7 linked regions of the Callithrix jacchus genome follow. The protein of the gene in region 1 purifies or fractionates together with the protein of each later gene. This does not show direct contact. Links are inferred from orthologs where the notes say so. Each region holds a gene or a part of one and is shown in the gene's direction. Other genes may lie near its edges. The genes, in order: PPP1CB, PPP1R12C, RAI14, YLPM1, GSK3B, PPP1R12B and TRIOBP.

Region 1 (3,964 bases):
TAATCCCAGCTACTAGGGAGGCTGAGGCAGGAGAATAGCTTGAACCCAGGAGGCAGAGGTTGCAGCGAGCCGAAATTGCGCCACTGCACCGCAATCTGGGCAACAAGAGTGAAACAACGTGAGTGAAAACCACACACACACACACACACACAACCGTGCCAGAGCCCATCCAGGGATCTGAACAAATGTCAGCTACTATAAGCGATACATGAGTTGGGGAGGCACTGCTTCGGGCTTGGGGCAACATCAGGTCTGGAAAAAAACACCTGTGGAATGAGTAAGGGCTGGCCACCTCCTAAAACAGGACAAAAGATTAGGCTTGCCTAGATCCTTAGCCTGACTGCTTCTCCTCCTGCCTTTCTAGAGGCGGTATTATGGGATGGAAACACTTGGTGGGTGCAGTGGGCATAAAGGTAAGTTAGTGTGTTTTTATCACCTAGGAGCTGAGTCGAGAGTGGGAGAAAAAAGGAAAAATAATTACCAGGTAGGATGACGATTAAGCAATATACTGGAGACAGGAACAGAAACACACCGTGGAAAAAAAAAAACCCACGGTGTGGATGGAGATTTAAGATAAGAGAAAGCGCTAGACACAGGCAGTCATCTGCACCCATGAATACTGTATTATTGCTGACTCCTCCAGGGCCCACTTTAACTCTTCCTTCAACCAGAATGCCTGCGGAACTAGCTTTGTGGAACCGCAGGGGATAAAGATCTTTATTTGCAATGTCGAACTCCAGCAGAGTAACCCTTTATTGCTTTCCACACGCGCAAAGCCGGGTTCTAAACGCTGCAGTTCGCGTTTCTCGGCTAACGAAAGAAACACGAGGAACTGCTTGCAGGTGCAGGGGATGAAGCCAAGAAAAGAAAAGCGAGGCCGAAAGGGCGCAACCACCAAGTCTGCGGAGAAACCAGGGCCGGTGGAGCAGAGAAATGGGAAGGTCAGCCCTGCCCCAGCGCGCCCAGCGTAACCCGGGTTTCCTTAGCGCTGCAAAGCCGGGGAACCTCCCGGGCGCCTGCGCCGCCGCGGCGAGACTTGGCGCCGTGGACATGGAGAGAGAGGGCGACGCACCTGCGCGAAGACGGCGACGGGAGAAGCCGCTCCAGTGCGACTGCGCGGCGGCCCGGGCGTCGAGGCAAACCTCGGCGAGGAGCGCGCCGCGCGCTTGCGCAGAGAACTGCGTTGCGCGGCGGCGGGCAAGGGCCGTGCGGAGTGAGTGGCGCTGCGGGTGGGGCCGTCGGCGGCGCTGGTGAGCTTTGCGGAGTTGGGCGGTGCCGAGGAGGAGGTGGCGGCCTGGGTCTGACGCGGCCCTGTTCGTGGGGGCCCCTCTTGTTTATTTATTTATTTTCCGTGGGTGCCTCCGACTGTGCGCGCGCTCTTGCTACCCGGCGGGGAGGGGGTGGGGGGAGGGCCCGGGAAAAGGGGGAGTTGGAGCCGGGGTCGAAACGCCGCGTGACTTGTAGGTGAGAGAACGCCGAGCCGTCGCCGAAGCCTCCGCCGCCGAGAAGCCCTTGTTCCCGCTGCCGGGAAGGAGAGTCTGTGCCGACAAGATGGCGGACGGGGAGTTGAACGTGGACAGCCTCATCACCCGGCTGCTGGAGGGTGAGTGCGCGCCGGGCCGCGACACAGAGGGAGGCTGGGCGTCGCCGCCGACCCCTAGCGTCCCCCTCCGCCGCCGAAACGCGACGGGACCCCTTTCCCGCCCCGAGACGAGTCTCTGGGAGCGCGGCGCGGCTGGCGGGGCGAGGAGGCTGCTGGACGCTGGGGAGCGGCCCCCGGGAGTGCGATCGGGGGAGAGGGGGCCGTCCCCGCGTACCCTTGGGGGCCAGGTGCGCTGGCTGGAGGCTGTGCGGAGCGGGTCTACGGAAGAGCCTTTCGGAAAGGCCGCCGGGCTCCGCGCGCCGTCGTTCTCGCCTCCGGTGACCCCTCCGAGGTGGCAGAGAGGATGCCTGCCGCCGGGCTTTGTGTCGATGGAATCCGTTTCTTCTCTGTTCTCTTTGTGCATTGCCCTTGGCTGCCTCCGTTTGTCGTTTCGGGAGTGAATTATGTGTGTGTATATATGTACCTGTCATGAGGACTGCTTCGTCTGCTCTGCATTTTTACGTGATGCTACAGAATGGATTCTTATTAAAGAGAGGATAAAATTAGCGGGAATTTTTTCCGCCATTTGTTTCTTGGCCTAAAAAAAAATTTGTAAGACAAAATATGTGATCAGGTTGAAGATGCACGTAAGACATGGGAAGTATGGAGATGCCTTTGCTGAAGGCTTCTGCGTTTGATTTGAGCAGAGCTTAATTTCTGCACAAACTTAGTGAATACCTATTTTTAAAGCCTGCCTTATGTTCAAAAGGTATCTGCAAGTCTACGCAGCATTTGAGCTTTCTGGGCCCTAGTGTTTTGATTGAATAGTTCTATGCTGGTGGGAAGGTAAGGGGGGAAAATGAAGAGGTAGACTAGCCAGGAGTTCAATGTTATTGATTCATTGCAGGATGTTATTCCAAGTTAAATGCAGTCTTCTGCCAAACAGTCCTCTACCCTAAAATTTGTGTCATCACTAATTTGTGAGTGTGTAGAAAAGCCTTTAAACCTTTTTTAGCAATTTGGAGGCCTCTGTTAGCTGCCGTCCAAGGATTGCATATGTACTGTTTGCTTTCAAATTACCTGAAGATAATTGTTTGCTACAGTGAAGCAAAATGTACTTATAATTGGAAAATCATCAAAGAAGATTGTGATGGGGAAGGGGTATTTCCTTTTTTTCAACGAATGTGTTGGTATCTAAAACACAAGTTTTTTGAGTACTGGTTGTGTAACTAGGGTATATTTGCTCCAGATGTGAAGGCCATCCAGCAGTCTTAAGACTGAAGCAAAAGTTTTACCAGGAACTCTTATTTACCTCTTCCTTTACTATCAAGTTATTCCTGGGAGGCCCCCTGGTGCCTGCAGTCAGTGTTGACTACGTAAGACTTTGTGAACAGATGTGAACATCTTGCTGGTTCTTTGAGGAAATTTGCTTTGAAAAAATTTGTATTTTCTAACTGTTCTATGAGGGAAATGCAGTTAATTTCAAAATGTGTATGTCTTATTTACATTTGGGGAAGGATAGGCCTACTTTTTTTTTTTTTTTGAGACAGAGTCTCCTTCTGTGGCCCAGGCTGGAGGGCTTTGTCGCCTAGGCTGGAGTGCAGTGGCAGGATGTTGGCTCACTGCAACCTCTGCCTCCTAGTTTCGAGCGCTTCTTCCACCTCAGCCTCCCTAGTAGCTGGGATTACAGGTACCCCACCATCATGCCCGGATAAATTTTTTTGTATTTTTGTAGAGACAGGGTTTCACCATTTTGGCCAGGCTGGTCTTGAACTCCTGACCTCTTGAGCCATGGCACCCATCCCATTTTTGTATGTTTTAAACTTTGCTTGTAAATTTAAATATTTTAAAAGTATGTTTGTATCTCAACTTCTTTATATTTTATTTAATTTTCCATATATTTTATAGGCATAAACCAGACTTGTTTTAAAATGTTTGTATCCTCTTAGGTTAGATGCACCTTTTATGATTATAGGTATTTCAGAAACTTCATGAGTGAGTTGTGCAAGGTTACTGGAAAAAAAGACACTGGGAAAAATAGCTTAAGGGATTCCGTTTGTTTTTGTGAATTCAAATTGAATAATTGGTTTTATACAATCTTTTTTCCATTTTTGGGGGGCGTAAGAATTGTAGTCCAGACACATTTCTCTCTTAATTTAGCAGGCGTTAACATGTTGACCTCCTCCTTACCAGGCACCAGGAATCCAAAGATAAGACACAATCTCTTCACTCAAGGAGCTCCCAGTATAAACAAGTGACTTTCAGGCTTTTTCAGCCTCCTCTCTGTCCTTTGCTCATCATAAGACAGAGAGTAGTATTCTATCAGTAGAGTTTCATTATTTCTACATCCTACGGAAGCATATTTAGTTTGACAGTGCCCCC
Region 2 (3,500 bases), on another chromosome or scaffold:
TGGGTTTGGGTCAGGTCTGGGTGTGGGGTGACCAGCTTATGCTGTTTGCCCAGGACACCCTGGTTTTAGCGCTGAAACCCTCAGTCCCAGGAAAACAGGGACGGTTGGTCACTGTCTCTGGGTGACTCTTGATTGAGTCCCGGCCACTTTGTCCATCTGGGAATGTGTTTCTCGTTCTGCATCCGTCTCAGGGCAGGTCCCCAAGCACCAGCCCCCTGCTGTGGCTGTTCCTGAGTTCTCAGGGTACCCCAGGTGGGTTTATTAACCACTTGGTGAGGCTGGTACACTCACCCCATTCCTGCCCCCCAGTTGCCTTAGTGGCTAGGGGGTTGGGGGCTAGAGTAGGAGGGGCTGGGTACAGGATCCTTAGGGCTCAACAGAGAAGAGCTGGGGGCCTGGGCTTCTGGGTCTGAGGGGAGAGGTACTGGGCCTAGACTCCTGGGTCTGAGGGATGAGGGACTAGGGCCTGGACTCCTGGGTCTCAGGGAGGAGGGGCTGGGCCTGGACCCCTGGGTCGGAATGCGGAGGGGCTGTAGACCTGGACTCCTGCATCTGAGGACAGAAGAGCTGGGGGCCTGGGCTTCTAGGTCTGAGGGAGGAGCGGCTGGGGCCTAGACTCCTGGGTCTGAGGGAAGAGGGGCTGGGCCTGGACCCCTGGGTCTGAATGAGGAGGGGCTGTAGACCTGGACTCCTGCATCTGAGGGCAGAAGGGCTGGGGCCTGGACTTCTGGGTTGAATGGAGGAGGGACTGGGCCTGGATTCCTGAGTCCCTGGTGCCCAGGCCTCAGGCATCTTTCACAAGGATGCCTGCGCTGGGCAGGTCCTTGAAAGGGAAAGGCCCATCTCTCTCCTTGCCCCCCCCATCACCATGACAACTGGGTGGAAATAAACGAGCGCAGTTCATCCCGTTCCCAGGGCACGTGCGGCCCCCCTTGCAGCCTGAGTTTCCATGACCTCATGCTCTTGGCCCTCGGAGCTCCCTCCCGCTTCTCCAGATGGGCAGCTGTGGAGAGGTGAGCGACTTGGGGGGCTAATTTGCCCCTGGATCTAGGCGTTTAGCTTCACTCCTCCTTCAGCTCCAGTTCAGGTCCCAGGGCCCACCCAGTGTCCACAAGGCCTGAGGTCAGTTCCTCTGGCCCCTGGATTTTGGCTTTTGTCTCCCCAAGTTTTTGACTCCTAGCGGAAGAATGAGCAACGATGGCGCATGTAAGCCCCTGGCTGCAGTTGCCCCGTGCAGAGTGGGCCTCAGTGACCAGGAGTGTGACTGCCTTGGGCCCTGGGCACACAGGTGTGCAGCTGCCTCACCCCTCAGGGAGTGCTGTCCAGGCCCCTGAGTCTGTCCCAGCACAGGGTGACCTTCCTGCAGAGTATCTGCTGGGGTTGTTTCTAGGCCTGACCCTTGGAAGGACCTGGCTAGGTCTGAGGCAGGAGGGGCTGGGGACCTGGACTCCTGGCTCTGAAGGAGGAGGGGCTGGAACTTCTTCCCTAGTCTGAGCACTGGAAGCGCCACCCTGTGGGTGGTGACGGGGCTTTTGCTGTGTCTAACAAGTACCATGTGGGATTCCCACACCCGGATGAGAAGCCCCAACCCTTCCCGTTCACTTTCTGTTTGCATGTAGCCAGGAGTCCTTTTGTGGTTTCCACTGAGCGCTGAAGGCCTGGCTGACCTGACCACTGGGCAGCCAGGGTGTCTGAAACAGCTGGTGGCTAGAGGCTGCTGGGTCATTTTCCCCACTGTCACTAGCACCGTGTCCCTGGGTCTGTTTTTGTGGCTCCTCTGGAGCCCTGCCTTGCTGGGACGATGTGGCTGGGGGAGGTGTGGCTGACGGCTGTTTCCCACCCCCAGGCCTGCATTGATGAGAACCTGGAGGTGGTGCGCTTCTTGGTGGAGCAGGGCGCCACTGTGAACCAGGCAGACAACGAGGGCTGGACGCCCCTGCACGTGGCCGCCTCCTGTGGCTACCTAGACATCGCCAGGTGAGGCAAGGGAGGGCCAGGCAGGACCTGGTCAGGGTGGGGACCTGGACCCTCAGCCCTGACTGACCCCCACCCCCAGGTACCTCCTGAGCCATGGGGCCAACATCGCCGCCGTCAACAGTGACGGGGACCTGCCCCTGGACCTAGCCGAGTCGGACGCCATGGAGGGGCTGCTGAAGGCGGAGATCGCCCACCGAGGTGGGCTCTGGTGTGCTTCGTGTGGGGTGGGGGCCCCTCCTCACCTGTGGCCTCCAGGCTGAGAATTTTAGAGGCTGTCTGGGCTCCAAGGCTGACCCTGCTTCCCAGGAGTCTTTGTCTCTCTCTGAGCCTCAGTTTCCTCACCTATGAAATGGGGGCATAGGGACCTGCCTCCAGTATTGTTTGGAGCCCATTGGAGGCACAGGATGAGAACTCAAGCTGCTACCAACTGGAAGTATTATTGGACTCCCTGAGTAACTGAGGGAATTGAAATGCCGGGGTGGGGGTGGGGGGCAGGTGGGCTGGGGGGACTCGCCCGAAGTGCGTTAGGTGGGATTGCTGGGACCCTGCGGCAGGTCTTTCTGGGAAGGGATGTATTTACTTCGGGGGGAGTAGAGGCATGCAGGGGCTGCCAGGGGCTGGTCTCCCTGTCCTTTGAGACTGGTACCCTGGGAGCCTTCATATGGGGTCCAAGAGCCCCTGAATCTGCCTGGCCAGTTCATTTCTCCAGGGAAGGGGTGTTGCTTCTGGCAGGTGTGTGATGATCACTGAGGATCCCTGGGTCCCCAGTGTGGCTTCTAAAGTCCAACTTTCTGAGCTTGCCTCCCAGCTCTGCCAGTGACTGGCTGACTCCAGGCATGTCCCTGAAGCTCGCTTCCCTTAGTTCCTGAAACAGGACTACAGGCACCGCCTCCTGGGGTGGTTGTCAGGGTCTGGTTGGGTGTCAGTGGAAAGGTGTGAGCTTAGTGCTGGCAGGCTCCAGACCCTTTAGAAGGAAAGGGAGAGTGATGAAGATACCAGCAGGCTTTCACGTCTCTGACGTGGTGTCCCAGGGTCGCTGGCCAGGCTGAAAAAGGATAGGGTTCCATGTGGGTTCGGGATCACGAGAGCCACATGGGAGAAGTAGCTATGGGACACATGGAGGCGGAGATCTGAAGTTTGGGAGCCTTTCTTTCGTTAAAATGGGGAGTGGTTGAAATCAACTCTGGAGCTGGATTCTCTCCTCCCTCCCCAAACTTTTTGTTTCATATTTACAGAAAAGTTGAAACAGTAGCCTATGAGTACCCATGTGACTTACACTGAGACTTGCCAGTTTCTTTTTTTTTAGATAGCTTTTTGAGATGTAATTCACATACCCTGCAATTCACCCAAAGTGCGCACTTCAGGGTTTTTAGTATATTCACACGTTCACCACATTGACTACAGAACATTCTCATCATCCCCTCAGATGTCACCCCGCCCTCAGACAGCCCTCTCTGCCCTTTGTCTCTGTAGGTTTGCTGTTTTGTACACTTCACATAAAGGGAATCATACAGTATAGAATC
Region 3 (3,500 bases), on another chromosome or scaffold:
ACTGGTTTCTAAAGCATTAGAAGAACATTTTGAAGCATGTATTTCCTAAATAGGTATCCTCAGGAGCAGTGGCTGCTGAGGATTCAGACACTGTATCCCAGAACAGTGTCTGGGTATGGTCTGGGTATCCTTCCAGTGTGACCAAGAGCAAATCCTGCCTACCCTATTCCCAGCTACAGCCAAGTGCTCTCGGTGTTCACCTCGACACACATCCATCTCAAGAGGAACATTTATACCAAGGAATCAGAGCTGGAAGGGTGTGGTGAGCCCAGCCCACCAGGTCCTGACTTTGCAGTAATAACCTTTCTGGCAGAATGACTTTACAACTTAACCAGGAAACCCAAGAGCTCCTCAGATAGGCTCTTCAACAGCCCAAAGTATCATTCTCAGATAGGGGCACCCAGGGTAAGGGTATTAGCCAAAGATCCCAGGATGGGCAGCTAGCCCATGTTTAAATACAGGTCTCCAATGCATGGATGTCACGGCATGTGTTCTACAACCCCCAGAGTCCATGCAAGGTGCCTTGTAGAAACCTTTGGTCAGCCTCATTTCTGCTAAAACAGCCATCTTCAAGACAGCCCCTGAAGAGACCAACTCAGGTCCTGCCCTGCTGTCCTTTGCTGAAGATGAGGAACAGGCTCTTGGGCTAAGGTTCAGGGTAGAGCACAAGGGACCAGAGAAGCTCCTGGAGTTGGCTGGGTGAGAGGGCTCTCCATTTGCTGCTTGTAGTAGCCTGCCTGCTAACTGATTTCTTCTCCCTAGTTGCAGCCCTGCCCTGGTCTGATGCCCCAACTCTGCCTTTGTTGTTCCCTCCCACCTCCCTATTAAATGTTGTGTACAGAAGAGCCCTTGTGAATTGTGAATTGTTGTTAAAAAAAAAAAAAAAAAAAAAAAAACGTAAAGGATACTTCTCTTTACGTTTTGTGTTATTTGTGTCAGGCCTAAGATTACAGAAAATACGTATATATATTCTTCTAGTAGTTTTCATCATTTGTTTTATATTGTAATGTTTAAAAGTTTAATCCACCTGACATGGTTTGCATATGAGTTGGAGACCTAGATTTCCTTCTTCCTAAAGGCATTGCAATTGTCATGACATATTATTCTTTCTATGCATCTCTTTATCTAGTCATGTGTTAGTAATAGACATAGGCTCTTAATTTATGTTATGTTTTTATACCTAGCAAGATTACTAAAAAGTATACTTTCTGGTTAAGAGTGGAATGGCAGGATATATAATCATTAGTGCATGGGGAAGAAGCTGCCTATAGGGCAGTGGGATCTTCTGATGTCGTGCAGAGATTCGTCCTTCCTTTCTCCAGCATTATCCCTCAGTACACATGGTACACTTGCCTTTAGCCTTTACACACTTTGTGTTCTACCCTCTCTCACAATCACCCAAACAGTGATAGCCACGGGAACAAGCAGCCCAAGAAGCTAGAGCTGCTATGGAAAAGCTAGCATTCAGTGAAATTCCCTAAGAAGAGTTGTACTGACATACACATGTGGCTCTATAGGGACACAATATCAAGATGGACCAGATATTAGATCAGCAGTCTAAGTCAGGAAAAGCATGCGCAAAGAACAGGGGCTGACTTTTGCAATTCTGGCATTTTGTGCCTGAGTTAAAATCTAAATCTGAATTTGTCTCCTAGGATGGGAATATACCGCTGCTTCTTGCTGTACAAAATGGTCACAGTGAGATCTGTCACTTTCTCCTGGATCATGGAGCAGATGTCAATTCCAGGAACAAAAGTGGAAGGTACCCCAGAATTAGGCAGAAATCATGTGACTTCAGTGATATCCACATTCTGAGAGTATTTCAAAATATCACAGCTATATTTTGGATCATTTGTTATAAAGGGGTTTAAACTCCTTACCTTTTTAAAGTTCTACTGTTTTTGATCATCAAGAATCTATGTTGACCTAAAAGCAATTTTCCCCAGACATCTGTGGACATCATTGCTGGCTAAGTCTGTGAGGAGACTATTATATGCTAACATGAATAAGCAATTTCCTGTGACTTTCTATGCAAAATGAAATAAACCGATTGGTTGGTTTGGAGAAATGGTCTTAGCAGCGTATATGTTATTTAAAGTGCTTGAGATGAAAAAGGATAAGATTCATGCCAGTCATATTAAATCCCATCATATTATGCCAAATAGTATAGAAGATTATGTTGTTTGACTAAATATGGTTTAATGTTTTGATTTAATCTGAAGTTTTAAAAATAATGCCTAATTTCATCTTGATAGCATTCCACTTCAAATTCCCCAAAGATTAAGTGTAATAAAGGTTTAACTGCACTTAATCTTCTTTCTCTCTCTCTTTTTTTAAGACAACTGATTTCCCAGGAAAGAGTTTGCACATTTCGTTAGTACTAATTTTGTGTCTCCCTTTTCCTTTAGAACTGCTCTCATGTTGGCCTGTGAGATTGGCAGCTCTAACATTGTGGAAGCCTTAATTAAAAAGGGTGCAGACCTAACCCTTGTAGATTCTCTTGGACACAATGCCTTACATTATTCCAGACTCTCAGAACATGCAGGAATTCAAAGCCTTCTATTATCAAAAATCTCTCAGGATGCTGGTATGTGAAAGAAAATAGCCAATGTTGTTTTAAATTTATCTACTCCATTTTCCCCAAAGGATAAAGGAATGTGTGCAATATGATATATTTTGTTATTTTTAAAACACATTTTTGAAGAAAAATTGAGTCTTAAAAACTATTGTGTATGGTGGTGTGTGTGTATCCCCCTACCCAAAGTGAATATGAATCATTATGGTTCTTATAGTTATTTTTTTCACTTTTTCCTCTTTAGATTTAAAGACCTCAACAAAACCAAAGCAGGTATTTATCTTTGGGGGAGGCTTTTTGTTTCATTTATGCTTGTGGGAATTCTGAAGTTCAGATTTAACCACTGTGTTCAGATTTAACCACTCTGTGGTCCAATAGTAAAATAATAAAGACTGTATTGAAAATACTTAAGGACTGAAATATCTTTGAAATAAATGATTCACTGTTAAAGGTGGTAAAGGTTTTCTTAATAATTTGCTTTATTTCAAAAGCATGTAACGTTAAACTTGCTACTTATATGTTCATCTTTTTCTGAAATATACTAACTCATACTTCCTATTGGTGTGAACATGTTTGATGTGGCTTAAACTCTGCGAATGAATAACAGTGTTTGAAGTACCTGTAATATCACATGAGCTACAGACCTGCAATCCAGAAAACGTTAGCTATTTAATGGTAATAAGAGAATTTAGCTTCTTCTTTTAATTAGGGTTTTTCTAGAATGTCATATAGTGTTACAGAAAGTAGAAATTGAATTTGCCCTGTTACTGTTTGGTTTTTTTTTTTTTTTTTTTTTTTCTAAAAATACGTTGTCACTGTTTTTTGACGAACAGTGTATGTTTGGTTGTTCTATTTATTTACACATCTAGGTTCTTGAAGAAATTACAAACAGCAAATACTCTAATACTGAATATATGTGCTAACT
Region 4 (3,500 bases), on another chromosome or scaffold:
GAAGACACACGGGATAAAGGACTAGTAAACAGAGGTCGTGGCCAGGCAATCAGTCGAGGCCCAGGATTGGTCAAGCAAGAAGACTTTCGGGATAAAATGATGGGTAGGAGAGAAGACAGTCGAGAGAAGATGAACAGAGGAGAAGGCAGCCGGGACAGAGGGCTGGTGAGGCCTGGAAGCAGTCGGGAGAAAGTGCCAGGTGGTCTGCAAGGCAGCCAGGACAGGGGTGGAGCTGGCAGCCGAGAAAGGGGACCACCTCGGAGGGCTGGTAGTCAGGAGAGAGGACCTCTTCGAAGGGCCGGGAGTAGAGAGAGTGTACCACCCCGAAGAGCTGGGAGCAGGGAGAGAGGACCACCTCGAGGTCCTGGCAGTCGAGAAAGGGGACTGGGAAGATCAGATTTTGGTCGTGATAGAGGTCCATTCAGACCAGACCCAGGAGATGGTGGGGAAAAAATGTATCCATATCACCGAGATGAGCCTCCTAGAGCTCCATGGAATCATGGAGAAGAACGAGGGCATGAAGAGTTCCCATTAGATGGTAGAAATGCTCCAATGGAACGAGAAAGACTTGATGACTGGGATAGAGAGAGATACTGGAGAGAATGTGAACATGACTATCAAGATGATACACTAGAGCTCTATAACAGAGAGGACAGGTTCTCAGCACCACCATCTCGATCTCATGATGGAGACAGGCGAGGCCCTTGGTGGGATGATTGGGAGAGAGACCAGGATATGGATGAGGACTACAATAGGGAAATGGACAGGGACATGGACAGGGATGTGGATCGGATTGGAAGACCCATGGATATGTATGATAGAAATTTGGATAATGAGTGGGACAGAGATTATGGGAGACCACTGGATGAACAAGAATCACAGTTTCGTGAACGGGATATTCCATCTCTTCCACCTTTACCGCCCCTCCCACCTCTTCCACCTTTGGATAGATATCGGGATGATAGATGGAGAGAAGAAAGAAATCGAGACCATGGGTATGATCGAGATTTCCGTGATAGGGGTGAGTTGAGGATTCGAGAGTATCCAGAAAGAGGAGATACATGGCGGGAAAAGCGAGATTATGTTCCTGACAGAATGGACTGGGAAAGAGAACGGTTGTCAGACAGATGGTACCCATCTGATGTGGATAGACATTCCCCCATGGCGGAACATATGCCCTCCTCACATCATTCCTCAGAAATGATGGGGTCCGATGCAAGCTTAGACTCTGACCAAGGCCTTGGAGGGGTAATGGTTCTCAGTCAGAGGCAGCACGAAATCATTTTGAAAGCTGCACAAGAACTGAAAATGCTTCGGTAAGTTGACTCCTTCAGATCATTTCTTTTAGTAAAAACCACATTCAGACTGCTCTTTTTAAATGATATGATATATTTGAATGTAATCATTTTACTTCAACTTCTTAACACATACTTTTAATTTATATTTCTGGTCATTCAGTGCTGTTTTTAGGGTTAGGATGAGTATTTAAGAACTGTGTTAATTATAAACATATGCCCTAAAATGTGAAAATTAATTGCTGTCTTGGCTTTTGTAGATGTGTTGCTGGCATGCCATGCCGCATGTTGTAGGTGTCAAACTTCAACTTTTCAGTGCTCTGGATTTCACAGGGCTCATGTGTAACCTTCATTTTTTCCAGTAAGCAATTTGTTCTTTGGTATTAGATCTGATAGACTTTATATTCACTGATCATTGAAAAAACTTTGGGAAGTGCTGTATTTTTTTGTATTTTTCTTTGTTGAAGCTAAGAATGGTTTGCTTAGAAGCATCCTCAGATTTGTCTAACTACTGATACTTTCTTTTTTGGGATGTTTTGTCTTTCATTATAACTAAAAGCAGATATTTCTCCTTGATGATGGTACTTGTTTCTATGTAGCCAAATATTTTCTTTGTGAAATGGAAAATAGGATATTTTGACTTACAATCTACTGTGTATCGGTATCTACGTAATTTTCCTGTTACAGTAACAATAATAACAAAAGCTAACATTTATTGCATGCTTACTCTGGGCCAGGAACTGTCCTAAGTGTGTTGTGTATTATAACTCATTTAATCTTTAAACCAGCTATATCTTGGGATAGGAATTTAGAAGTCAGTGACAGATTGCAAGCTTTTTTAAAGCAAATTTTTTTAGAAAAATCAATTAATGATTAGGTTTTGATAGATTCCAATATATTTCTTCCATTTTTCAATTCTGGTTTATATTTGTGGATCTTACCAATAAATTATAACTTAAACTTTAGAACTAGGAAAGAAAAATGTGGTGAAGAAACAGTAATGATGAAAGATCAGATACGGCAGGTTTCTGTGGTCTATAGCTAAAAGGTTTATTTTTTCCAGGTTACTCATGAGGAAAATGTAGAAAGCATGCTATAGAGTGTATAGCTACCACACTATTCACTTTTAAGTTGTGGACACCTTTAATTTAACACCTACCATGTAACTGGGCACTTGCTGATAATTGAGTGTATATTATGCTAGTCTGTCTATCTCAAATTCTTCTATCTCAAAGGCCTGCAAAGATAAGATAGTATTATCCCCACTTCACAAGTGACACTAAGGCTCAGAGAGGTTAAGTTCTCTTGGCTAGTAAGTGTCAGACCCAGCGTTTAAACTCAATCTGTCCAACTCTAAAATCTGTGTTGTTTATGGAGAATACCAAGCTGATTGGTGTTGTTAAGCTGCCAAGGTTTCTTTCTTTTTCCTTTCGAAATTTCTTTTTAATTCATTATTGCTTTGCATGGCAATGCTGGGTAAAAGGTGCTGCTGCTGTTTCATCCTTTTTTAAAGCTTTCTGGGCAACATGAACATAATTAAATAATATATATGGAGTGATAGATAATGTGGTTATAATTGAAGACAAGTAGGTTATGTTATGTCAGTGTAAAGTTATAAGGAGTATCATAAGGGATGTGATTTACCTGAGCAGAAAATAGTCTTACATACTTGACCTTTTGGGTTCATTTGGGTCACTTACTTTACTGTGAAGAGAAAATTGTAAGAGGTCTTAAGAAGTTGTAGTGGATTTTACCCATGTTTAAGGTGGACATTATGAAGAAAAGTAAAAGGAATTTAATCAGAAATTTAAAGAAAAACTGAAGGACTACATAATTATCTTCAGGAAGATGAAGTGTTGTTTTTAAAGATATAGACTGACAGTTGTTTTCACCATCTACAGCAGGGGCCATAAATTAAAATGTCCCCAACAATCAGATAACAAAAATGAGTGAAAGTGGGCCAAACTTTCTAGAGTATGGTGAAGATTGTGACACGTTGTTTCATCTAACATGGGCAGCCTTGCTGCACTCGGCTGATTGTTGGCATGTGGGAATGTAGGACTGGTGTTACCAAATCTCTTTAAGGTTTGAATTTATATGTGAAATATTTTGCTTTGTAAATAGCTAATTCAAATTTTAAAAACTGATGTGAAAGCCACATTTTTTTTTTTTTTTTTTTTTTGAAAGCCACATTTTTTTTTTGAG
Region 5 (3,500 bases), on another chromosome or scaffold:
TGGACTTGCTACTGTGGAGACTGATGTTTAAAGTTTATAACTGTATAAACATTTTCTATGTCCCCCCCACACCATGGATTTCTTATAACATTGGATATATTTTTCCTTGCTGGACTATTCTCTTTTGGATTGACTTCCCCTGTTTGGATTATTTCACTGCATTATCATCTTTAGGATTCGTCAGGAACAGGACATTTCACCTCAGGAGTACGGGTATGTACTTAATTTTTTTTTTTTTCCCAAAATTTCAGGGCAGGTCTATAAAACTTGGGGGAAACCTTTTTTGAAAGGCTAAACAATTATTCATTCTTGAAATGTAATAGTAAACGATGTAAGTAGCTGCGATTTCTGTTTTTATTCACTGTATGGCATAGGTTTTGCTTATAATATATTTAGATTGTCAGTCTCTTGGGTGATTCATAGACATCTAGGCTGAAGTTTGGGAATTGTGGGGGTTTAAAATTATTATTTCTATTGCAAGAATAAATATTGATGAAGATCCATGAAACCAAAGGTCTGTGTGTTAAGCAATGTCAATGAGTAAGGAAAGAAGTGACAGCAGAAGCTTCTTTAATTAAAAGACACATTTCAGTTCTTGGTGGTTTCCTTTTCTTTAGAAGCAGAAATAATTCAGATGAGCTAGTTTCTAGTTTTCCCTATAATTTTTAGAAGTTGTGTGCTAACTCACACTGTATTATGGTCAGAAATCTGAACTGTGGGAGATACTGGGTTTTGGCCCCACTTAATTTTCCACTTAACCTTTATTCACTGAGTACTGAACCAAGGCTTTTCTCATCAAGAATCTCTTAAGGGTTTAAAATAACAATGTATACTTTTTGCAAAGGCAGGTTAAATCTTGATTTTTATGTAGGCTCTTGGAATGTATTATTTTCTTTATAGTTTTTAACTCTTGAACTTCATGAGTTAAGATTCCCTGACAAATATATGCTAATAAATATTTTAGTACCAATATGGATGATCACTTGTAGCCAGTAAAACACCAAAATATATGGGTGACTTAAAAAAATATTGAAAATAAGCTTATAATACTGGTTTATTAATAGCTTTAACACAAAATCTTGGAAAATATAACATGAAAATTTTTTATTTAAAATAACTCACCATCCATCTATCCTACATTTGAAAGTTAGCGGGAGATACTTATTTCTTCCTTTGGTGCTACTTTTAATTCCACTTATGTGCTGCCATATTGGTGCAAAAACATTTTGGATTAGCTAGCAAAATAAATCTATATACCATCAAACAGAAGCAAACTTGCCCTCAGGGATAAAATATACCAATAATGTTTAATATTTTTATGAAAATTTTCTGGGTTCTCCCACTGATTATTTTCTTTTTACATTCTGTATTTGATTATGGACTTTGGGAGCAAGAGAGGGGACAAGAACAGTGGAAGAGCTAAACATTTCAATAACTCAAAGGTTTTCTTGACTGAGGCAAGTCAGAGTATTCAAAAGAATAAAGATAAGGCAGGTTTTGACCTTATAAAAAGGTTTTCTTTTTCACATATCCAAGAAATTGACTAAGACCTTAATGTTCTGAAATAAATTTCTAAGAGCCTACTTTACGTAATTTCTCAATTTTCATGGAAAATGTCTTTTTCAATAATAAACTAAAATAAAATCTTTTCACTGTAGACAATACTTATAGTCTCTGGAAAGTCTAATGAGCTCTGTGGTTGTAACTAGTTCTACTGACTGTCAGCATAAGTGAACAACCAGATGTTACATTAACCAATCTTACTAGAAAATCTTAGTCTCCCAGGCTGCTTCATGCCCTGTCACAATATGAATGGGCTTTTCTGACTTATAGGTCCATTTCCCTCCGTTTATACATGTCTACTTGTCTGTCCACCTCCATCATCACACCTTTTATTTGGTTGTGTGTTCTTCCTATCAAGGGATATATGTCTCATTTTTCTTTAGTTCAAAAGTTCCTCATCTGTTTATTTCTATTCCTTCCCTTTTTATTTTTATTTTGTAGCTGGTCATAATTTAGAATTAAGTATATTTCTATAGTTTTTTTATTGATTAGTTTTATTTTATTTAAGACACAAATGAGTAGAAAGCTATCTACTCCTTTAAGTAGATTAATTTAATTGAACTTTCCTTCAATATAGCCTTCAGTTGACTTTTTCCATGTCTCAATCATTCTTAATGGATAATATATTTTTCTCTCCTTGATTAAAACCTTGGAATATTTATTCAAATGAGGGAAATCTGGCCACATCGATGGTAATAGCTACTTGAGAAAAAAATATAGGACATTTTATCAAATTCTAGTTTTTCAAGAATTTCTTCAAATAATGATAGGCTCTGTTTATTGGAGATAATCAAATCAGTAGCATTTGTAGACCTAGAGTAAATAGCTCTTCTTTCTTTTAAGATATTGATTGCCAGATTTTTCAACAATGCTGCCCATCATTGACAGTTGTTCTGCTAAAAAAAAAAAAATGCAAAAGAGGCAAACTTTTATTTACTGCCATAGCAGTGAAAACTTTAAAATTTTAAAAATGTTTTTCTAGTTGTGCTTGCCTCCAGAATGTAGCCTTTCCCATGTGCCTGTCATATTTTGTATGCATGTCTGATTGTATTGCTTTATGGTTAGCATATATAGATTTTTTTCTCCGAGCATTTCTCATATAGTCTTAATCAGCAGTTCACCACTGTGAAGCATATGCACTTAACTCTTTCCATTCTAGAAGGTCTTTTCCCAAATGCAACCATGTTTCTGTACATGGTAGGAATTAAGTCATTACTCACAGGGTACTTGCCTAGATTCATATAACATTAATTATTCTTTCCCTTTTTTTGTACTGCAGGTCTTCCGACCTCGAACTCCACCAGAGGCGATTGCACTGTGTAGCCGTCTGCTGGAGTATACACCAACTGCCCGATTGACACCACTGGAAGCTTGTGCACATTCATTTTTTGATGAATTACGGGACCCAAATGTCAAACTACCAAATGGGCGAGACACACCTGCACTCTTCAACTTCACCACTCAAGGTAACTCCAAATACTTAGCTCTTTCACCATTTCTAGGAAAGCTACACACTGGGTGTGAAATGACATTCCATTAATTAAAATATGTGGAGGACAAAAATGGACATATTAAGTACTTATGAAGGTGAAAAGATTATTCTTTCTGATTTGCTGGCCACTACTTACATGGTTTTGAACAAAAGACTAGCACATAAAGAAGCTATGCCTATTGGAAAACTTTTAATTTTTAGCAGAATATAATGTTGGCACATGAGAAGTTACAGAGAATTCAGTGAGTGAAGTTTATCACTAATTGGATTGATGTACAATTTCATCTTTAAGTTTGGATCTGAAACTTAAAATAGTAGCATTTCTTGCTTCCGTAGAGTTTGGATCAATTTTTTAAACCTGGAAATGAATTGGTGGCTGTATTTGTATAAATTCAGTTGTCTTCCAAACAGGAGGAAAACTAGAATCCTATAAACCCTTTCTAAG
Region 6 (3,500 bases), on another chromosome or scaffold:
CTATTTGATCTTTTGGGGAATACTCCTGCTCAATCATCAAGAGTTATTCCATGGTTAGTATGAAACAGCCCTGATCTTGTGATATTTTCCCAGGGTGTCACCCTAACAGATCTTCAAGAAGCAGAAAGGACTTTCAGCCGGTCGAGGGCAGAGAGGCAAGCTCAGGAGCAGCCTTGTGAGAAGCCCACAGACACTGAAGGGGGGCTTGAGGGGAGCCCTGAGAAGCATGAGCCCTCAGCAGTCCCAGCAACGGAAGCTGGGGAGGGCCAGCAGCCCTGGGGCAGGAGTCTGGATGAAGAGGTGAGCTCATTTTTGCTGGCATGTACTGTGATAAAAGCAGGGTAATTAGTTTGGGGAGTATCTTCTTCACTGATAGTTCAAAGGCTATGTTCTGCCTTGCAGTGGACAACTCACTCTGTATGCCTGTCTTTAGTTGGCAAACCTGTGTGACAAAACTTTGGAGGATGTCAGTCCTTAAATGATCATTTTTTTCTTCTGAGAGTTCCGTGACGCTTTTGAATAAATGTCCTCTTCTAAAAAGGGAGGTCATAGTATAACAAAATGCAAATAAAAATGTAAGCATGCATTGAGTGTTTACTTTACTCAGTACATGCTTGCTTTATGCCAGGCACTATTTTAAGTTCTTCATATGTATTAATTCATTTAATTCTCATAACAACCCTCTGAGGTAAATATTACTATTTCTATTTTATATGTGAGGAAACTGAATCACAGAGGTTAAGGACATTTAAGCCCAACATTTCACACAGTAAGACGTGGTTAAGCCAGAGTTTGAACATAGGCAGTCTGACTTGCTCTTTTAACCACTAGTGTATTGTTTTTCAAACTCTTGCAAACCTAAGGGCTTACAAAGCACTCGTGGGTGTCACTGTTGGGAGGGTCATTTTGATTTATGTTTCATTGCTCTAGTGGAGTTGGTAGTCAGAGGTTTAAGATTATATTTAGGGTGAACATAACTCCTGGTTTACTTAAGGTGGTTCCAAGTATAATTGTTGTCTTTGTGTAATTATCATTACCACTCTTTTGCACTCTCAAAAGTGTCCCAGTTTGAACTGATTAATGTTATGGTCACTGTGGTTATAGAAGAAAGGAATCTCCTTCTTGCTTTGTGACTCTGAATGGATAGATTCCATAAACTGAAGTTCTATTTTGTATTTGTTTGTTTTATAAGCTACTATTTATTGAGCACCTATTACCAGGTATTCTTCTAAGCACCTAATGCACATTTTCTTATTTAATCCTCATAATCCTCTCTGAAGAAGTTGTTATATCTTTTTATAGATGAGGATGTTAGGGCTCAGAAAAGCTAAGTATCTTATTCAAGGTCACACAGCTAGTAAATGCTGAAGCTAGAATTTGAACAAAGATTGTCGGACTCCAAATTTACTACATTTTATTGTATCTGTCTTTATAAATCACAAAAGTTTGTACAATCGCTATGCCATAAATTTAATGTATAGTAAGAATTTATCTATCTCTGAGTCTTCCATAAACCAAGTTAAGGCTTATTGTTAGGCTCTATCTGTCCTAACTCTCAGGAAAGAAACAAAAACAAAAACACTACAAAAATGAAAATGGAAACTTTAGAAAGCCTAGTTATGGCAAGCTGGTAGAGTGTTCAGAACTTGGTAGGATACTCACATTTGTTCTCTGTTCTCAGACAATTTCTACATTTTGCTGCTTCATGCTTCTGAGCTTTTTATTACCCTACATAAACCTTGCCTTTCAGCACTCTATCTTAAAAAAGGCCATCATTCTTATTTTCATTCCAAGATCAAAGGAATTTTTATTTACACGGTTAATGCTATCTAGTACCCTTTGGTCAATTTATGAATAATTTACTTGGACTACTCCCAACATGATAGGATTCTCAGAGTAGGAGTCCAGCAGCTGGTTTTTTGCTGTCTAGTTCATTTATTGAGTGCCTATTACCAGGTACTCAGTATTGATCATCATCTACTCATAAGCCTCTCAATATGAAAAAAAAAATGTTGAGAACCAGCCCAACCCCATAAGTGGGTGCCCTTAGTCCTGGCAGTGATGAGGGATTGAGAAAAGGAAATAAAGACAGAGACACAAGAGTAGAATTTACAGCATGGGTCCGGGGGACAAATGTGCTAAACTAGTACTCTGAGTTTGTCACAGATTGTTATCAGGGTGCGGCTGCATCAGCAGTATAGCAGATTAGGAGCCACACCCAGTGCAACAAGGCTTTTATCTCCTGAGCACTGAGGACATAGAGCAATTAACATCACTCCATATTAAGAGAACCTAGGCAGAGTCTGAGGTGTTCCATGATCTCTGCCCTGCAAGGCTTTTCTCCTCCTTGCCAGCTCCCATCTGCAAAGACTCTCCCCGATCTTGTGAGCACAGGTCGCCTCCCTTCTCAGAGATCTTTGCATAAGCCCTCTTTATGAGGCCCTTATACAGTGTCCATGTTGAGAAGGCATTTGTGGGACCAGAGCAGTATTCCCTGCTCTGCAACCACCCCAAGGTGTTCCCCGGTATTACTGCGCTCTTGGATGGTCTTTACCTTAGGCCTCTGTTGCCGCTTGATTTCTAATTAACTGCCCCAATAATGTAGTTTAGTTCAGTGTATAAACTTCAGTGTATTCTGAGTCAAGCAAGCTTACAGTTATTTAGCTGGAATCAACATAGGTCTCTCCCTGGCCATCTTGACCCACAAAAACATTTTGTATAAACCTGCTGTTCTTATCCTTTAGATGGACTTGACTTCTGATATCTCATGTGTGGATTATTTCTAGCCTATCTGTCGTCGCCTGAGGTGTCCAACTCAGACAGATAAACCCACCACGCCATCGTCTCCTTCTACATCAAGACCCTCACTCTACACCAGTTCCAGTTCCCACCTGCTACGGACAAGTAGATTCTCAGACCCGGATTCTGAGAGTTCAAAGACTACCACAAACACTACAACTGCAAAGGAAATGGACAAAAATGGTATGTGGAGCTTCAAAAGACACAGGCCCCTCCACAGTGCACATCCCCCATATTCTTAAAGTCCATACTTTATTTTATCTCTGGCCAGAGAATGAAGAAGCAGATTTGGATGAGCAGTCCTCTAAGAGGCTGTCCATTCGAGAGAGGAGGCGGCCCAAGGAACGGCGAAGAGGCACAGGCATCAATTTCTGGACAAATGATGTAAGTGGATTGGTCTGTGCTGAGGCATATCATACTACTCTTGGCCACCATCCTTTCAGTTGAGTTTAAAATAAAGAGTCCTGCATGGTGCCATGAATTTTGCACATTCTCGAGAAGTATTACTGAGGAAAAGAGAAGAAAGACCTAACTAGTGTGGGACTCATTTGTATGTTCCTGCTAGATTCCCAGTATCTAATACAGTGAGAAGCACATGTAAGCACATGGTGGGCACTCAGTAAATTGGCAAATAATTTAAAAACTGGAAATATACAACAGCCATATAAACCAATATAACAAGTGAATAAGCTTGTCAAGTT
Region 7 (2,211 bases), on another chromosome or scaffold:
TCCCTTACTGGGGTAAGAAAATATGTGTGTGTGATCCGAGGATCACTCTAGTATTTTATTTTATTTTAGACAGTGTCTCACTCGCTCACCCAGGCTGAAGTGCAGTGGCACAATCTCGGCTCACTGAAATTTCTGCCTCCCCGGCTCAAGTGATTCTCCTGCCTCAGCCTCCCCAGTAGCTGAGATTACAAGCTCTCACCACCACACCCAGCTAATTTTTTATACGTTTGGTAGAGATGGGGTTTCACTATGTTGGCCAGGCTGGTCTTGAACTCCTGTGATCTGCCCGCCTCAGCCTCCCAAAATGCTGGGATCATAGGCATGAGCCACCACACCTAGCCTTAGTATTTTATTTCTTAACACCTAGGTGAGGTTCACCCTCTGCCTAGAATTTAAGTCCTTTTGGTCTGTTAACTTACCTAATCTTCCTGACAGCTGCATACGTTAGCTACTGTTACTGTCCGCATTTACAGATGAGGAGACAGACACAGGGAGAGCACGTACCTTACCAAAGCTTGCACAGCTGGCCTGGGACTTGAACCAGGCAGTCTGGCTCCAGTCTGAGCCTTTTAAGCCTCCCCAGTCCTGGCTGAACTTGTTTCTTCCATGGTCAAGTCAGCAGCACCTGGCCCTCAGGGTTGGGGAGGGGTTAGTGAGGTGGCCTGTGGGGTGACCCAGCCGCCCAGGTTTATGTAGGGCTTCTTTTCATCTTCCTTAACCCAGAGGTGAGAGCCTGGTGCTGCATGAGGGCTGCAGCAGAGTTGACTGTGAGATAGCCACTCACACAGGCTGGACAGGGGTGAGAGTAGAGGAAGCGGAAGCAGGGGAACCAAAGAGGACTTCCTGGAGGAATCTGACTCCAGCATGTCAAGGGTTTTGGTGCAGATAGGGGCTGCATTCTAGGGGCCTGAGGCAGAGAGAAGGCAGGCTGCAGGGCGCTGTGGGCCAGGGTAGCTCTGCCTTCTGGCCCTGGGTCAGCCTGGCACCTATATCCCCAGGTGCTGCTTCGAGTAAAAGAGAACGAACTCCAGTACCTGAAGAAGGAGGTGCAGTGCCTCCGGGACGAGCTCCAGATGATGCAGAAGGTAGGCCCTGCCACTGGGCGTGGGGGTCGCGGGGGCCTCTGGAGCCACCTGGGTGCCATCCTGTGAATACCTGCTCTGTGCCAAGCCCTCCACTTGCCTCATCCTTCCTCAGGCTCTCCTGTGCCTCTCCCATGTAGGTGTCGTCATCCCCATTCACTGACAGGGAAACTGAGGCTAAGAATGGGGAAGTGACTTGCCGAAGGCCATACTTGCTTCTATTTATTTAGCATTATTTAATTTATTGGTGATTAGTGAGCACGTACTATGTCCCAGACACTGCGCTGGGTGCTGGGAAGACAGATGGGAACAAAATAGCCCAGATCTCTGCTGTGTGGACCTTGCACTCAAGGGAGAATAGCCACATTGCTAGGAGTTGGGCGTGTCGGGGTTCAGCCCAGGTGTGAGTCTGTCACCCACCTGGCCCACCCTTAGCTGCTGTGTCCCTGCCTGGTGCTGTCAGTTTGGGGCGGGAAGTGGACTCTTTAAGCATATTTGAGCCAGAACGAGTTTACCGTGCTTGAAGAACAGGTGGTGTGAACTCACGGGAAGGGCCCGAGCACCCGGCCAGGCTGACCTGGTTCTCATCCCAACCACTCACTGCCCTTCAGTCTTGGGCAAAATCTCCTCCTAAACAGGAGGAGGATGCCAATTACGCCTGTGTCCCTGGGTGGTACCAGGGAGGTGGGAGGGGTAAGACCAAGAACAGGGCCACCTAGGGGAGCCACCTGGATGGTTGAAGCAAGGGGGCTACAGGGAGGTCTGGCTGCTGGTGCTGCCCAAGTGCCAGGTGGGCAGGGATGGAGGGAGAGGCTTCGTCCCCTCATACCTGCCTCCTGCCATGCAGGACAAGCGCTTCACCTCGGGAAAGTACCAGGACGTCTACGTGGAGCTGAGCCACATCAAGACGCGGTCGGAACGGGAGATCGAGCAGCTGAAGGAGCACCTGCGCCTTGCCATGGCCGCCCTGCAGGAAAAGGAGGCCATGCGTAACAGCCTGGCTGAGTAGAGGTGGGTGCCGAGGCGTGCACCCTGCAGGCTGGGCCGGGGCTAAGGCTCTCCCACACCTGGGACTCCCTGGGCCACCCCAGCCAGGGCATTTCCTTCCTCTGGCCTCCAATTCCCGTTC

The links.
Region 2: the proteins of PPP1CB (region 1) and PPP1R12C purify together in Homo sapiens (affinity purification with mass spectrometry; 3 studies listed by BioGRID and IntAct, with this or other methods). This does not show direct contact. The link is inferred for Callithrix jacchus from reciprocal best matches to the Homo sapiens genes PPP1CB and PPP1R12C.
Region 3: the proteins of PPP1CB (region 1) and RAI14 purify together in Homo sapiens (affinity purification with mass spectrometry; 3 studies listed by BioGRID and IntAct, with this or other methods). This does not show direct contact. The link is inferred for Callithrix jacchus from reciprocal best matches to the Homo sapiens genes PPP1CB and RAI14.
Region 4: the proteins of PPP1CB (region 1) and YLPM1 purify together in Homo sapiens (affinity purification with mass spectrometry; 3 studies listed by BioGRID and IntAct, with this or other methods). This does not show direct contact. The link is inferred for Callithrix jacchus from reciprocal best matches to the Homo sapiens genes PPP1CB and YLPM1.
Region 5: the proteins of PPP1CB (region 1) and GSK3B purify together in Homo sapiens (affinity purification with mass spectrometry; 3 studies listed by BioGRID and IntAct, with this or other methods). This does not show direct contact. The link is inferred for Callithrix jacchus from reciprocal best matches to the Homo sapiens genes PPP1CB and GSK3B.
Region 6: the proteins of PPP1CB (region 1) and PPP1R12B purify together in Homo sapiens (affinity purification with mass spectrometry; 4 studies listed by BioGRID and IntAct, with this or other methods). This does not show direct contact. The link is inferred for Callithrix jacchus from reciprocal best matches to the Homo sapiens genes PPP1CB and PPP1R12B.
Region 7: the proteins of PPP1CB (region 1) and TRIOBP purify together in Homo sapiens (affinity purification with mass spectrometry; 3 studies listed by BioGRID and IntAct, with this or other methods). This does not show direct contact. The link is inferred for Callithrix jacchus from reciprocal best matches to the Homo sapiens genes PPP1CB and TRIOBP.

Annotation. Positions count from the first base shown.
Region 1 is NC_133515.1:86,290,010-86,293,973, reverse strand, and holds the start of PPP1CB (serine/threonine-protein phosphatase PP1-beta catalytic subunit), read left to right. Parts: upstream 1-1,164; 5' UTR 1,165-1,351; intron 1,352-1,464; 5' UTR 1,465-1,551; coding exon 1,552-1,603; intron 1,604-3,964. UniProt on the Homo sapiens protein: Protein phosphatase that associates with over 200 regulatory proteins to form highly specific holoenzymes which dephosphorylate hundreds of biological targets.
Region 2 is NC_133523.1:47,976,420-47,979,919, reverse strand, and holds part of PPP1R12C (protein phosphatase 1 regulatory subunit 12C), read left to right. Parts: intron 1-1,846; coding exon 1,847-1,977; intron 1,978-2,056; coding exon 2,057-2,175; intron 2,176-3,500. UniProt on the Homo sapiens protein: Regulates myosin phosphatase activity.
Region 3 is NC_133503.1:170,831,362-170,834,861, reverse strand, and holds part of RAI14 (ankycorbin), read left to right. Parts: intron 1-1,655; coding exon 1,656-1,762; intron 1,763-2,408; coding exon 2,409-2,587; intron 2,588-2,819; coding exon 2,820-2,848; intron 2,849-3,500. UniProt on the Homo sapiens protein: Plays a role in actin regulation at the ectoplasmic specialization, a type of cell junction specific to testis. Important for establishment of sperm polarity and normal spermatid adhesion.
Region 4 is NC_133509.1:109,711,145-109,714,644, forward strand, and holds part of YLPM1 (YLP motif-containing protein 1), read left to right. Parts: coding exon 1-1,316; intron 1,317-3,500. UniProt on the Homo sapiens protein: Plays a role in the reduction of telomerase activity during differentiation of embryonic stem cells by binding to the core promoter of TERT and controlling its down-regulation.
Region 5 is NC_133516.1:82,946,573-82,950,072, forward strand, and holds part of GSK3B (glycogen synthase kinase-3 beta), read left to right. Parts: intron 1-174; coding exon 175-213; intron 214-2,842; coding exon 2,843-3,029; intron 3,030-3,500. UniProt on the Homo sapiens protein: Constitutively active protein kinase that acts as a negative regulator in the hormonal control of glucose homeostasis, Wnt signaling and regulation of transcription factors and microtubules, by phosphorylating and inactivating glycogen synthase (GYS1 or GYS2), EIF2B, CTNNB1/beta-catenin, APC, AXIN1, DPYSL2/CRMP2, JUN, NFATC1/NFATC, MAPT/TAU and MACF1.
Region 6 is NC_133520.1:29,524,376-29,527,875, forward strand, and holds part of PPP1R12B (protein phosphatase 1 regulatory subunit 12B), read left to right. Parts: intron 1-93; coding exon 94-300; intron 301-2,786; coding exon 2,787-2,982; intron 2,983-3,070; coding exon 3,071-3,183; intron 3,184-3,500. UniProt on the Homo sapiens protein: Regulates myosin phosphatase activity. Augments Ca(2+) sensitivity of the contractile apparatus.
Region 7 is NC_133502.1:208,776,827-208,779,037, forward strand, and holds part of TRIOBP (TRIO and F-actin-binding protein), read left to right. Parts: intron 1-998; coding exon 999-1,085; intron 1,086-1,929; coding exon 1,930-2,091; 3' UTR 2,092-2,093; intron 2,094-2,211.